Linked DNA regions of Arabidopsis thaliana. The protein of the gene in region 2 interacts with the protein of the main gene of each other region in a biochemical or structural test. Each region holds a gene or a part of one and is shown on either strand. Other genes may lie near its edges.

Evidence for each region. Proteins that work in one complex are often made in the same cells at the same time.
Region 1: the proteins of GDAP1 (region 2) and ARF1 form a complex in vitro, tested with the Arabidopsis thaliana proteins (one study listed by BioGRID).

Annotation. Positions count from the first base shown.
Region 1 is NC_003070.9:21,977,313-21,984,933, forward strand, and holds ARF1 (auxin response factor 1), read left to right. Parts: upstream 1-2,026; 5' UTR 2,027-2,111; exon of another isoform or gene 2,112-2,307; intron 2,308-3,071; 5' UTR 3,072-3,101; coding exon 3,102-3,138; intron 3,139-3,343; coding exon 3,344-3,459; intron 3,460-3,714; coding exon 3,715-3,810; intron 3,811-3,916; coding exon 3,917-3,973; intron 3,974-4,071; coding exon 4,072-4,224; intron 4,225-4,309; coding exon 4,310-4,394; intron 4,395-4,547; coding exon 4,548-4,638; intron 4,639-4,716; coding exon 4,717-4,881; intron 4,882-5,106; coding exon 5,107-5,226; intron 5,227-5,316; coding exon 5,317-5,392; intron 5,393-5,511; coding exon 5,512-5,683; intron 5,684-5,759; coding exon 5,760-6,229; intron 6,230-6,375; coding exon 6,376-6,566; intron 6,567-6,712; coding exon 6,713-6,881; 3' UTR 6,882-7,121; downstream 7,122-7,621. Other genes in the region: MTR4 (RNA helicase, ATP-dependent, SK12/DOB1 protein), read right to left, coding at 7,259-7,537. UniProt on the Arabidopsis thaliana protein: Auxin response factors (ARFs) are transcriptional factors that bind specifically to the DNA sequence 5'-TGTCTC-3' found in the auxin-responsive promoter elements (AuxREs). Seems to act as transcriptional repressor.
Region 2 is NC_003074.8:22,778,940-22,785,694, forward strand, and holds GDAP1 (GRIP-related ARF-binding domain-containing protein 1), read right to left. Parts: upstream 5,000-6,755; 5' UTR 4,704-4,999; coding exon 4,500-4,703; intron 4,356-4,499; coding exon 4,257-4,355; intron 4,173-4,256; coding exon 4,050-4,172; intron 3,709-4,049; coding exon 3,595-3,708; intron 3,402-3,594; coding exon 3,293-3,401; intron 3,214-3,292; coding exon 3,149-3,213; intron 3,050-3,148; coding exon 2,882-3,049; intron 2,762-2,881; coding exon 2,648-2,761; intron 2,540-2,647; coding exon 2,399-2,539; intron 2,185-2,398; coding exon 1,888-2,184; intron 1,808-1,887; coding exon 1,742-1,807; intron 1,658-1,741; coding exon 1,455-1,657; intron 1,361-1,454; coding exon 1,306-1,360; intron 1,253-1,305; exon of another isoform or gene 1,245-1,252; intron 1,210-1,244; coding exon 1,024-1,209; coding exon of another isoform or gene 934-1,023; intron 893-933; coding exon 698-892; 3' UTR 502-697; downstream 1-501. Other genes in the region: AT3G61560 (Reticulon family protein), read left to right, coding at 66-232; AT3G61571 (uncharacterized protein), read right to left, coding at 5,082-5,243. UniProt on the Arabidopsis thaliana protein: Golgi matrix protein playing a role in tethering of vesicles to Golgi membranes and in maintaining the overall structure of the Golgi apparatus.

The sequences.
Region 1 (7,621 bases), on a different chromosome or scaffold from region 2:
ATCATGGTACATAAATTTTAAAAAGAATCAATTTGTTAAGAATGGTATACCAACGAATAACAATAATTCAATCATATGTTAGGAATCATTTATATGTTTACCTATATATTATTTTGAAGATTTTCACTCAATGCAAAGATGAACCTCAAAATTACTTTTATCAATGACACATTTTTAAAGAGAAAATATATAAAGATATGAAAGTAGTCACTAGGGACTATGTAATCAATTGTGCTATTTACTGTTTAAACACACTAAAATATATAGTTTTAATGTAATTAAGTAATCCTACAACTTTCATGTGAAAATTCCTAGTCAAATATTTCACGTAGTGAGTTATTTAAAGTAAAACAGAATAATAGGTATGCTTATACGGGTCGAGTTGCTTTATTATGAATATGATTATATGAATCAAAGGATATGAATTTATATTTATCAAGTTACCACGTTACGACCAAATTTGGGTTATGGGTTTCAAATCTTGAACGGTTCATGGTATTCCGCCGCTTTTGTCCTATCAAGTATGGACACATTTTTCAAAAGTACGCTGGTGCCGAAGTAGTTTGTTGTGGCCTTGGTTAACTGTACCATTAATGCGTGTTTATAAACTACATGCTAACTCTAATAACTTCTCATACATTCACATCAAAGGACGATGAGCCTCATATACATACATAGTGATCAGAGCCATCCTCTAAGCAAAAAGACTATCCTTTTTAAAAAAGAGAATCATATTAAGGGCAAAAATTAACTTTCAAAAATAATTGGCCAAGAAGCGATGACTAATGTTTTTGCCAAAAATAAAACAAAATCTCAAATCTCAAAGCCTGTTTCATATCTCTTTTAAGAAGAGAGAAAGAAACTTAGGATTCCAGAACTAAACGTCGAAAGTTCTTAGATATCTTATTTCAAAGGGTTCTCCTCTGTCAGAAATTCTAGAATAACAGATTATTTCATCTTAGGTGGACTGTCATTTCTTCTAACTAGGCTAGTAGCAAATCATTATGCCCAATTTAAAGCTAACTCGCTCTCCATCTCCATTCGATTAGATTAGTAGTTAACTTTAAACCACCAAAAAATTTTATACATTTATTTGTTAGAGAATATTTGGAAGAATTGGGTGGTCTCGCTTTGTGCCGCTTTCTTAGCTCAAGGATTTTTGGATTCTATCTACATGAACTTCGTTATCAATTTTGATGCTTGATATTTTTGCCTAGAGTGTTTCAGTTTTTTTGTTTTTCTTTTCTTTTTCTAGCAGAATTGTCACATGTTATATTCATATTTTGAGTATTTTCTAAGAAACAATTAGGATGCTACATAGACATATTTTTGAAAAGAATTAAGAAAAAGTAATAGGTTTTGGAATTTTGCAAAACAAGCGAGAAGATGCTACACTTGATTGTTTTCAACAAAAATACCCTCAGAAATAATGGATGAGATTCACATGATAGCACTAAATCGCTACAAAATCTCTTCACTAGTGTCTCCTCCATAGTCAAATCCGAGCTCCAGATAAAAACATTACAGATTCATATGACAATATTAATTTTGTCACTCATATGAATTTGGTTAAATATATAATCTAATTTGAAAATACAAAAATCATGATTCATGATGCACCTTTCAATTCACATAATGTTGAAATACAGAAAAAATAATTACTCTCTCATTTCTTTATAATATAAGTTTTAGAAAGAAACCAAAAATTGTCTCATAAAGATAAATGTAGATTTTTTTTTAATTTTATCTCCTATTAACTAGGGTTGAATTAATAAAACAACTAATGAATATTTATTAAACACGAATATATTTGTAGTAGTAAAAAAATTCTTAATATGTATGCAAAGTCTAAAAACATACAAGTTCACTAATCTCTACTAAATTAACAGCTAAACCCAATAAATCCGTTAATTATGGCTAGTTTAGTGAATTTTTCTCAAAGAAAAGCTCTTTTTTCAAAGTTAAGGAGACTAGAGAGCAAGTCATTTGCTTGTGGTTGGAAACAAAAACCCAAAGCGACGACACAATTAAAAAAAAATATAAAGAGGAGAGGAGAAAAAGAGGCAAGCCATAGCCAAAGGGTTCGTGTCGGCTTCAACCAAACACTGACGGTGTGTGTATACACCTTTACATACACACCTTTATCTCTCTCTCTCTCACATCTTTGTTACAAATCAATCTTCTACTGTTTTCTTTTTCCTCTTCTTACATTATTTTTTGACAGCAATTCTTAGTTTCTCTTCTATCCCCTTTCTGGGTTTTGTTTGAACCCTAGCTCGCTTTGGATCCAGTGGTTTTAAGTTAAAGGTTCGATTTTTATTTCTGGGTTTTGCTTGTTTTGCTTGGTTCTGCTTAGTAAATGTTGGAAAAGGAGGAGACTTTAGAGGATCTGTAGTCAGATTTGAGCTGGGTTTGTCGATTTTACTAGGATTTTGATTTTGGGGATAATCTAGATCAGGAATCGTTACTTTGTTTCATATCCAAAATTCAACTCTTTTTCTCGTTCCTGATCTAAAAATCGTTCCTTTTCAAGCTTTCTAAATGAGGTTTCTCTTTGGTGGTTCTGAAATTTTGTCTGTAGCTGTTGTGTTCTTCTCTTAGATTTGATTCTGTATGATAATTTTAGGTTCTGAGTTTGAAGTCTTGTCATTGTAGAGATGGTTTTAGTAACAGTTTTGGTGTTGCTTTGTGTGAAGTTATTAAGGACTAAAATCTGTTCATTTTTGGTATGTTATTGAGCAGGTTCTTGTCTTGCTTTTGCTTTATTTGTTCTTTCTTTTTACCTCTTTGTTTGAGTGATTATTGGATTTTCTCTTCAAATTGGGTAATAAAATTTTGAGAATCTGAGTCTTGTGATGTGCTTTAGACACAATGTAGAACAAAGCAGTTACATAAATGGCCCACATTTTTGTCAGTAAATTTATGAATGGGGTTTTAAATGTTTCTACATAATAACATCTATCAGAGTTTTGTTTGTCTAAATTAGAGGAGGATAGGTCCATCTTCTTCTTTTCTCTTTCAGAATAACATTTCAATCTTATAGTTTTCTCTTCTTTTGTTTTGTTGCCCAGGTAAATTTATCGAAAGTAAGTAGATTCCTAATGGCAGCTTCCAATCATTCATCTGGTAAACCTGGAGGTTCGTGGAATATTTCTTGTTTTTATACCATTCTTTGCTATTTTCTACTGGGAATCCACTTTCTAAGCTTGTTTGGGGATTCTGCATAACTTGAAATGGATGATTAAGAACTGGATAAGGGTTTTAAAGCCTTGGAGATTGCAACCATTGCTTTGTTTTTGAGATATATTGTTGCGTCACATAACCCATATCTGTTTCTTTGTAGGAGTTTTAAGTGATGCTTTATGTAGGGAGCTCTGGCATGCCTGTGCTGGACCTCTTGTAACCCTACCTCGTGAAGGGGAACGAGTTTATTATTTCCCTGAAGGCCACATGGAGCAGGTTGGTTATTGGGTTGAATCATTTAACATTATCATTTGCTAAAGCCGGTTATGTTAATTGGACTGTTATTACTGTGTCAACTGTCGCTTCAAAATACCTTGTTGGTGCTTTCTAGTTTAAAAGTAAAATCACAAAACATGTATTGTTGTATAGAACGGATAAATGCACTACCTGTTTTGATTTCACATGATTATTGTTTCTTTCATCTTATCTGATTATCACATTTATGCATTTAATTGGTCACTTCCTGTGCAGCTCGAGGCATCAATGCACCAAGGTTTGGAGCAACAGATGCCTTCCTTCAACCTCCCATCTAAGATCCTCTGTAAAGTTATCAACATCCAGCGCAGGGTAGGCTAAATTCCATGATATATGATAAAAGTTTCTTACCTTTTCTTCATGAAATGGGTTGGCTAAAGAATATTATACCTTGTTGTGCTTCACTTTGCAAGCTCAGGCAGAGCCCGAGACTGACGAAGTATATGCGCAAATAACCTTATTGCCAGAACTGGATGTAAGTAAATTTTGATGGTTTGGTGTTTCACAAAAAACGGTTCGGTAATTTTTTTTCCTGTACTTGATTTTGGTGAAACTATTGTGTTTGGTTATCAGCAAAGCGAACCCACTAGCCCAGATGCCCCTGTTCAAGAACCTGAAAAGTGCACCGTACATTCATTTTGCAAGACACTAACTGCTTCAGACACAAGCACACATGGTGGCTTCTCGGTGCTACGGAGACATGCAGATGATTGTCTCCCACCCTTGGTCAGACTTGCTTCCGGTGTTCTGGTTGCTTTTTGGAAACATCTCCACTGCTATTTTGTGTAACAGTTTGCTTTCTCTTTTCTAGGATATGTCCCAACAACCACCGTGGCAAGAATTGGTTGCAACTGATTTGCACAATAGTGAATGGCATTTTAGGCACATTTTCCGAGGTTAATACACTTGGTATCTTATTATGAGATGGTCTTTAAACTGTGGTTCCTTTACCCCAATGCTACTGCTACTGGGAACCTTTAAAGCTTTACATAATTTTGCATTAATATTATTGTTTCACGTTTGTTTTAATCATAAGGTTGTGACTACAGGCCAACCAAGGCGTCATTTGCTAACAACTGGATGGAGTGTTTTTGTTAGCTCGAAGAAACTAGTGGCTGGTGATGCTTTCATATTCTTAAGGCAAGCTCCTCATTTCATTCGTCTGGATATTATTTTTGCCACATACGGCTGGACATGTGACATAGTATTATCTTTCAGGGGTGAGAATGAAGAGCTCCGAGTAGGTGTTAGGCGGCACATGAGACAACAGACTAATATCCCGTCATCTGTCATTTCAAGTCATAGCATGCATATTGGGGTCCTTGCAACAGCAGCTCATGCCATTACAACAGGAACAATCTTTTCTGTCTTCTACAAGCCAAGGTCTCATCAAATGGTCCAAAACACATCAGTTGCTGCATCAGACTTTCAGCTCCATTTAGAAACTGAAAATTTTGCTATGTTAGATTTATTTAGCCGGTCTGGGACGGACACACCAGCCATTTTTTAATAAATATGCATCTTATTCCATTGAGTTACTGTTGCCTGCATATGCTTGATGATAATCATTTTGCTGCAAATCCAGGCTGACATATCTTCTATTATCAGGACAAGTAGGTCAGAGTTTATTGTGAGCGTCAATAGGTATCTCGAAGCTAAGACCCAGAAGCTGTCTGTAGGCATGCGTTTCAAGATGAGATTCGAGGGGGAAGAAGCTCCCGAGAAAAGGTATCAAAACTAACTATATTGTTTTCTTTTTGCTGATAAAGCTGAATATAACTTCTAGTCTTTTTTTTTGTGTGCGTTTTAACTATGCAGGTTCAGTGGCACAATAGTTGGTGTTCAGGAAAATAAGTCTTCGGTCTGGCATGATTCTGAATGGAGATCGCTAAAGGTTAGAATATTCTACTGTTATACTTTGCAGTGGAGCAAGTTGTGGATTTGTATTTTCTTAGTTGAATGAATAGAGTGATGCATCTTAATATGCTTATTGGCAATCTGATCATGCTTCAGGTTCAATGGGACGAACCCTCATCTGTATTTCGTCCTGAAAGAGTTTCACCTTGGGAACTTGAGCCCCTAGTTGCAAATAGTACTCCGTCTTCACAACCTCAGCCTCCGCAAAGGAACAAACGACCAAGACCTCCTGGTTTACCTTCACCAGCCACTGGTCCATCTGGTCCTGGTATTCTGTGTTCTTTTCTCTTTGAACTGTTCTTCTTTGTGGCGGCTCTTGCTCTTTTTATTGATGCTCTCTTCAGTTACTCCAGATGGTGTGTGGAAATCCCCGGCAGACACTCCTTCCTCAGTGCCATTATTCTCTCCTCCTGCCAAAGCTGCTACGTTTGGTCATGGTGGGAACAAATCATTTGGAGTATCTATTGGATCAGCCTTTTGGCCCACCAATGCAGATAGTGCAGCTGAATCCTTTGCTTCAGCGTTTAACAATGAATCTACTGAAAAGAAACAAACTAATGGAAATGTCTGTAGGCTTTTTGGGTTTGAGCTAGTTGAAAATGTTAATGTGGATGAATGTTTCTCTGCTGCCTCTGTGTCTGGTGCTGTCGCTGTAGATCAACCTGTCCCATCCAACGAGTTTGACTCTGGCCAGCAATCTGAGCCATTAAACATCAACCAATCTGATATTCCTTCGGGGAGTGGTGACCCTGAGAAATCCTCTTTGAGGTCTCCTCAAGAATCACAAAGTAGACAGATACGTAGCTGCACAAAGGTGTGACTATTAGCCTCTTGTATCGCTCGCTCTTTCTTTGAAGATCAATTTTTTTTGTCACAACTCCAATATTGGTCTTAAATTGGTGGACCGTGTCTGCGGCTTGCTTTTGACTAAAACGCAATGTTTTTGGCAATTTGATTTAGGTGCACATGCAAGGCAGTGCAGTAGGCAGAGCTATTGATTTGACAAGGTCAGAGTGTTATGAAGATCTGTTCAAGAAGCTGGAAGAGATGTTTGATATCAAGGGTGAACTCTTAGAATCTACCAAAAAATGGCAAGTCGTTTACACCGATGATGAAGATGACATGATGATGGTTGGTGATGATCCATGGAAGTAAGTGCATTTGCTGTCTAATACTCTAAATTTTGTTTGGTGTCAACAAATAAAGCAGTGGTTAAAATTGCAAAGCATCATCTGCTGTAATGTGTCCTTTTGCTTTACCGTTGATGATCATTTTGGTCTTCTCTTTTGTGCTGCAGTGAGTTCTGTGGAATGGTGAGGAAGATATTCATCTACACACCTGAGGAAGTGAAGAAACTTTCACCGAAGAACAAACTCGCAGTCAATGCAAGGATGCAGCTCAAAGCTGATGCAGAGGAAAATGGGAATACAGAGGGCAGATCATCATCTATGGCGGGATCAAGATGAGTATATCACTGTGTTATGTTTTAAATGTACTTGCCACGTAGGAAATATGAAAGCAGAAGCAAGAGATCGTTAGACAATATGAAAGTTGAGATGTCTGTGTATAGCAATGAAGTTTTATGTCTTCAAGTCTTATGAATTCACTTAGATGCAATGTGTTTTGAGGAGTTGTGTAGCTTTTGTACGGGAAATATGGAAATTAAGTTTCACGTCTTGTTCTACCTTGAACAATGGTCATGGTCAAAAATAAAATTATGATAAATCTCCTCTTGCTTTATAGTTCTTAGTACACATTATAAGACTTTAAGAATAAATGATGGTACAAACAAAATTCGTTGCTTTTGTTATAATCTTGTTGCCAGGATGAAATAAGCACGACATCACAAGTAGAGAGACGCCGCGAATACAATGTCTCTTTTGATCTTGGAAACAGCTTCTTCTAGTTTAGCTTCAAGCTGTGTTTCTCCTATAGATTTTGCAGCTACTATGAGCTGTTGCAGAACTTCCTCCATTCTCCTTATCGCTCTGATCAAGCTCCCTTCGAAAACACGAGCAATCTCCATGACCTCATAGAATTTGGACCCTTTTGCCCAAGCATACACCGCCTCCATTATATCAGGTCTGAAAGACTGCACAAAACTCTCCACGTCTATTTCGACCTGTCAATGTCATAAAAGACAGAAAGTTATGGACCAAAGCCTCTTCAAATGGTCAAATTCACTTTTAGCTGAGCAGAGAGAATA
Region 2 (6,755 bases):
TTTCGTCTTTTTGTTTGTTTGAGTCTGAAATTATCTCCATGTGTGTGGGAAACAAAAAAAAACAGGTTTTGTGGTGTTACATACAGTACCAATGTTGTATGAGAAACATGAGGACAAGGTAGATCCAGTGGCAGAGAAGACGTTGAAGGAGCTGAAGAAACATTACATGGTGTTTGATGAGAAGGTTCTTTCTAAGCTTCCTGTTGCTTCCCTTAAGGCAAAGTTGGGTTAAAAACTTTAGAGTGAAGCAACCTCCCTCTCTTTATTATCTTTCCCCTTGACGTTTTGCTTTGTGTCTTGGGGCATTTTTATTTGTTACTTCAGAAAAAAAATGTTACTCTGTGTTTTCCCTTCTCTAATTTTGACTAATACCTTTTTCGTGGGAAATGATTTAAAATGGTTTCTGTGAATGCTGTGTTAATCAAATTTTGGTAAAAGATGCAATTAGTCGTTAGCTCATGTAATGGTAAAACCTTTCACAAAGAAAATCACAGTACCAGCTGATGTAACTTTGTATTTTAATCTTTCAATCAAAATTTCCATCAAAAAGTCAGCAGCATACATCAACAAAAGAAAAATTGACGAACAAACAAAGGTGTGAGATCATAATTACAACAAAAGACTCAATAGAGGTTCAAATTCCTATTTTAAATGTAAGTATGTATAATGTTTATCTATGTACCATCTTTTAAGGAAGTTATCTCGAGAGTCGTTGATTACTCTCAGATGATCTGAGAGGCACAGTAGAGAACTCTGAATCATGCAAAGCCGCCTCTTGTCTCGTCCTCTCCGAATCTTGCTTGGCTTTACTCGCTGCTGCTTCTTCTGCTTCTCTTCTCTCTCGCTCTTCCGCGTCTTTGAGTAAGAAATCGACCCATAGATCCGCAAAAGACTGTAATACAAATTCCAAAAAAACACACAATAATATCTCTCTTAGTGTGAAACTTGCCTGTGTAGCCGACAAAAAAAAACAAAACTTGCCTGTGTATCAGTGTACTTTATTATGTTATGGAGGACTTTTACCTGGTTATCAGAAGCTGCATTAGCATGTAACTCTGCAGATTTCCCACCCAAAATTCCTCCGACAAAGCGGCCCGGAAAGCCCAATACGCCTCTAACAACTCCTTTACCTCCTCCTTGTTTTGCCGCTCCAATCCGCTCTTTATCTTCCTCTGAAAATCCTAGCATCCGAACCATGAGGTCCAAAACCTAGGCGAAAGCATGAAACAACCGAAGTATATCAGAGACATTTCTCATATGTGTATGTCACAAACTGGATTTCAGAATAATATCAATGTCTATTACCTCTTTGTTATGATTCTTCTGGAAGTATGTAACCAGCAATTTAATAACGATTCGCCTGCAAAGACACATGTTGGTTCATCATTGCATCAGAACACCTAATTCAGACAGGAGAATCGAAACTATATATGTCCAAGTGTTAATTGGTGTACCTATCAACAAGATAATCAGACTCCATTGACATTCTATTGAGCCTTGTCATGCTCTGCTCAAGAACACGTCGTACTTTTGCATTGTCTTCTTCAACCTTGGTTACTCTGTTTTTCCATTCCGCTGCAACTTTTTCCGCATGCAATAATTTGGATGTGACATCTTCCTTTTCTTTATTTGATGACTCTAACCGCTCATCAGAATCCTTCAGCAACCGCAAAATAGCATCAGACAGATATCGTTATGGCAGGTTGTAGTTTATAAAGGGAAAAGATAGTTATATTCCTACTTTCAAACGAGCAGAAAGCTTCATCAACTCGTCTTTAGCCATCGCAAGCTCTCGTTCAAAATGCTCCTACAAAATGAATACGAACGCATTGATAAATTGAGAGTAAGAATAGAAAAGGAAAGATTTTTGAATTTCCTAATTCCAACCTTAGCTTCGATTTCAGCGTAATACTGGCCTAGAGCAGTTTGAAGATTTAAAAGTTCAACATTCTTGGACTCGATTGTTCTCAAACAATTTGTAAGTTTTTGATTTAGGTCATCAACTGTGTCCTTTAATTTTCGGATTTGGTTGTCATTGCTCAATCTGTTATCCTCCTGATTCGAGATGGCCTGCTTAAGACTTTTCTCCAAGTGTGATATCTGAGACCTTTGATATTCATTAGTCTGGCGGAGTTCTTCAATCAGTCGGCTATCTTCATCCATTTTCTCAGACTCCTCTGTTTCCTGTGAAATTATGGCAAAGAACACACTTTTCAATCATCTTCACAGAAAATTATCAAGAAAATATTGTCTCGGCTGAATTCATAACAATCTTAGAAGCTAGAAAACGAAATAATTTGCAAAATAATGATCCAAAAGCTATAATACTACAACAAATGTAACCATGTCCCACACTAATAGATTCAGTAAAATATTAGCTTTTACGACAGCTGCTAACCTTTTCTAGCAAGTGCTGTTTGAGTCGTTTTAATTCTTGCCGTGCCTTATCTCTTTCTCTTTGTGTTTCCTTCAAATCCATTTCCAACCTCTGCAGGGATTGCTCCATTTCTTCTTTTCCAGGAAAGCTTTCAGGCTTCTCCTAGTAAAATATGGAAACGGCATAAGAAGGAAGGAAAAAGGTAGCTCCACATTTAATGAAAAGCAATGCAAAATGCGTTTATAATTAAGTTCCTTCTAGTTTAAGAACCTTGTCCAAAGTACTAGGATGCCTAGTCAGAGACTCTGTGGCGTCCGGGAAGACTTTGCTATTGGTTAGCTTCCTGCTTTCTTCTAAAGCAGCTTCTAGCTCACTTCGTTTCAACTATGAAGTGATGAAAAAGCATATCAGATTCGGTTCCAGATTCCAAAAGTCAACGTAGACATACACAATGTTGGCAATTTTTGCTTGCACAACCATTCAGCAGTATGGAACACAATAAACCTTAAGCTCGTTGTTTTCCTTCTCCAGAGCTTTGTTAACTTCTTTCAGATGTTCCATGCCAGGTCCAATAGCATGGCTTTCCTGACCAGTCAACTTCATCTGCAGGTGTTTGATTTCAAGTAATTTTGCATCCAATTCACTACGCATTTTGCTAATCTCCATGGAGGTCTGCAAACAGATTCAATACAGAAAATAAGAAAATTGTAACTTAGAGATGGTGATTCCTAAGAAAATAATAAATGTGTCTTTTCTAACTCCAAGACTTACTTTGTTTTTATCTAACCTCATAGACTCGAGTTCTTCCTTGAAAGATTCACTCCTTTTCCGCTCCTCTGATGGAAGTAAGGTAAGTGAGAATACTAGCTAACATGGATACAAAAGAAGCACCAAGCTACAAGTGATATTATATACCCTGTAGAGATAGCTGAAAATCTCTTAATTTTTCACGCTCTTTGGCAAGCTCCGTAGCTTGAACAGCTGCCATTGATTTGGTTCTATCTTCTAGCATATCTGCAAGGTCCTAAAAGGACATCCAGTTTATCGCTTATAATTTGGTATTTACCAAACAAGAATATTGCAGAGCAATTACTTATGTATTAGAAGATGTATCTAAAGAAATTCAGAATCTCAGAAGTATGTATCCTACTGACAACCAATTTTCAAGACCCCAAAGCTTTTATGTTAAGCTAATGGTAAATAAACATTAGCGTTACCTTTTCCTTTATAAACGAATCGGTATCCTTCCCTTTTCCATTGGACATATGGTTTGGACTTTTTAAATGCGAAACAGATTTGTGTAGCCTATTGGGTGACTGATCATTGTTTCCCTGGAGAAGATAAATAACAAATTAATTGAATAGTTTAAGACCTTCACTTAAGAACGCATCTCTCAGCAAAATAAACACATAAACAAATGTGACATACTTATCAAAATAGTGATGTTGACAAAACTTTCTTGATCTAATATATGATCTCATAATACGCTTTCTATCCTAGTAAATCCCACTAATAAACTTAGCATATAACCAATCCTATCAATAATGCGTTCCATGCCAAAACATGCTTCACACATTACAACTCTTAAGTAGTTGCATGATCCTCGTGATCCTTCACACACAGTATGCGCAAAGAATCGCATAGAGATGAAACAAAGATATGAAGTGTCTACCTTGATAGCATAGTTGTTTGATCCCCTGGAAATGTCGGTTCTAGCCTCTTTAAGAGCGGCACTAGTTGAGGTCAGATTTTGTTTCAAAGAGCCATTCTCCTGATTCAATCTGGAAATCTGATCCTGTAATAATCCCATAGGGTCTTTGATGTAAGAAAAAGAGAGAAAAACAGTTAATGGCTTGAAGATTGTGTGTCAGAAACTAACCTCTTTCTCTCTTAAGAGAGCTGCATAATTTACAGATAAGGCTTTGATATCTGATTCTGATTCCTGAAGCTTCTTAATCTCTGCCTTATACCGCTCAATCTAAAATGTGACACAAAATTGAATCATAAAAACAAACTTAACACTAGACCAACTACATCACAGATTTTGAGTAACATTTCCAGTGAAATTCAGATGCTTAATCTTTAAATCTAGCAATAAATTTATCCAATTCAGACCAAATACCTCATGATGAGCAGGCGATTCAATTCCATTGGAGATCGAATACCTCGAAACGGACCTAAAACCACTGGAATTCCTCCGATCAGAGTTCGATACGCCATTGGCGGAACCATATTTGTGGAGATCGTCTTCTTCTTCGTCGTCTTCATGCACATCGAGAACGATCTTGTGCAAGTTCGCCTTCATATTCTCAATTGAACTCCACATAGCTCTATCTCAACACCTACTGCAGCCTCAAAGGCTCAAAAACCCCACAAAAACACAGATCACTTGTCTATCAAAGAGACAATGAATCTTCGTCGGAATTGAGCGCAGATAAACAATAAGCAGAAATGAATTTCGTGTTCTTTTCCCGGTCAGAGAGAAGAGATTTGGAATTGAAATAAATGTTTAGATCATATTGAATTAGCGTATTCATTAATTAATTAACTCTTATCGTTACGTTTTAAAACAAATCGCTACTCGTAGCAAGTTATTATTATTAATGGGCTTTTAAAAACAAAGGCCCAATAGATAAATATGAGACGTCAAAATAAATCTTTAGACAAAAAAACACAAACACAACAGCCGTCGTTGCAAAATCTGTCAGGACATGTGCTCTTCGATGGTCGGAGGCATTGTGAAGAAGTTGTTGATTTCACTTGGAAAGTCTAGCTCTGCCTTGGTCAGCGGCAAACTTTTGAAGAAGTTGTAGATTCGACTTGGTATGTCACTGCGAAGAAACTGGGAAATAGGCCAACTGGGCATTCAAAACTTAAAACCAAATCTGTAATGGAACCAAGCAAACGACAAGACAAACGACCACCGCACAAAACGAAGCCAGTGGATCGTCACGCGATGTCAATATCGACTTGAACCTTTCCACTTGTGAGTCAGCATAATCCATCATGTACAACAATTTCTCCGACATCTTCATCAACCTTTCGTGCCTCAACCTCAAAATCTCATTATCTGCGCTAGTCATATTTTTTTATACGAGAAATTACAGAGAAAAATATAGAATGACGACTTATCAAATTTGAATGTGCTCTTTAAAGTTTTTTATTCAGGCACTACCCGTTCAATGTTCATATAGGACGTAAGAGAAAAAAACGGAAAAAAAAAAGAAAGTAAAATTTAACATTAACATAATTTTAGAAAAGGGAAAATTCACATATACGGTATAAATTTGTAATAGACCGTCCTATTTAAGGCCGTACATGTTCTTAATTTTTTCTAAATCAACGGTTCTGAACTATTAGGAATTTAGGAAATCATTTCCATATATCCAATTATCTATATATGTAATGTATATACTATGTAGGTTTCATCGCGGCCCTTTTGGATTTGAGTTTCCAGAATAAGGCCCATTTTCAAATTAAGATTTCAGATCAAGACCCCTTTTCCAACCCGTTGTGTAGGCCCAAATAAATTTCATTTGACTGAACATCAAAACTTCAAAATATCTTCTTCTACAAAATTGGCATTCGTAATTATCTTCTTGAAAACAAAACAAAATATATGCACCAATTTTCATTTGTCACACGTTGTAGGCTTCGAATCGTATGCATTTTATAATTTTACTTATAAACAAAAGTGACATCAGAAATAGTATCTCCTATATTATAAAAATGAATAACCAACCATCTTCCCACTGCTTTCCCAAGTCTTCTTTGTATTCCTTACACCAAACAAAAAAAAAAAGTCTTCTTATTTCCCAGTTGAGCAATTTCCCTCCCTTTTGCTATTTAATTTGTTCTTTTAGTAATATTATCAATGTGTTTATCTGACTTTTATTCTCCTCCATGGATAAAATAAAGATATCCCACTTGAGGAAGAAAATATCTTGGAAGAGTTAACCATAAATCAGAAAAAGATATGGAAGAGAACAGCTGTGTATCTTTGAGACCAAGTCTTGAGAAGCAGTTAGACAACATGGACGGTGCTGGTTGCATTCAAAAATCTTTCTATACATAAAACGGAATATGCCAAAAGTCATCAATATATCGTAAAAACCATATGCTTCTATTTATAAATTTTACATTTCATAAACTTTAGGTTAGTTTATGTTTCCATATCACTCATGACTCAACACATATGCTAATATTCGGGTAATTTATAGTAAAAATGAAATTTTTAAAGGTAAAACCTGTATTTTTGTTTTTTTCTGTAAAAGAATAAGGCTTTATTGACCACAATTAGAGGATACTTTTCTTTTTCGGTTTTGGCATTTGGTGATACTCTTATTTATTTTCTTAATGTTGACATTACTAACTTTTT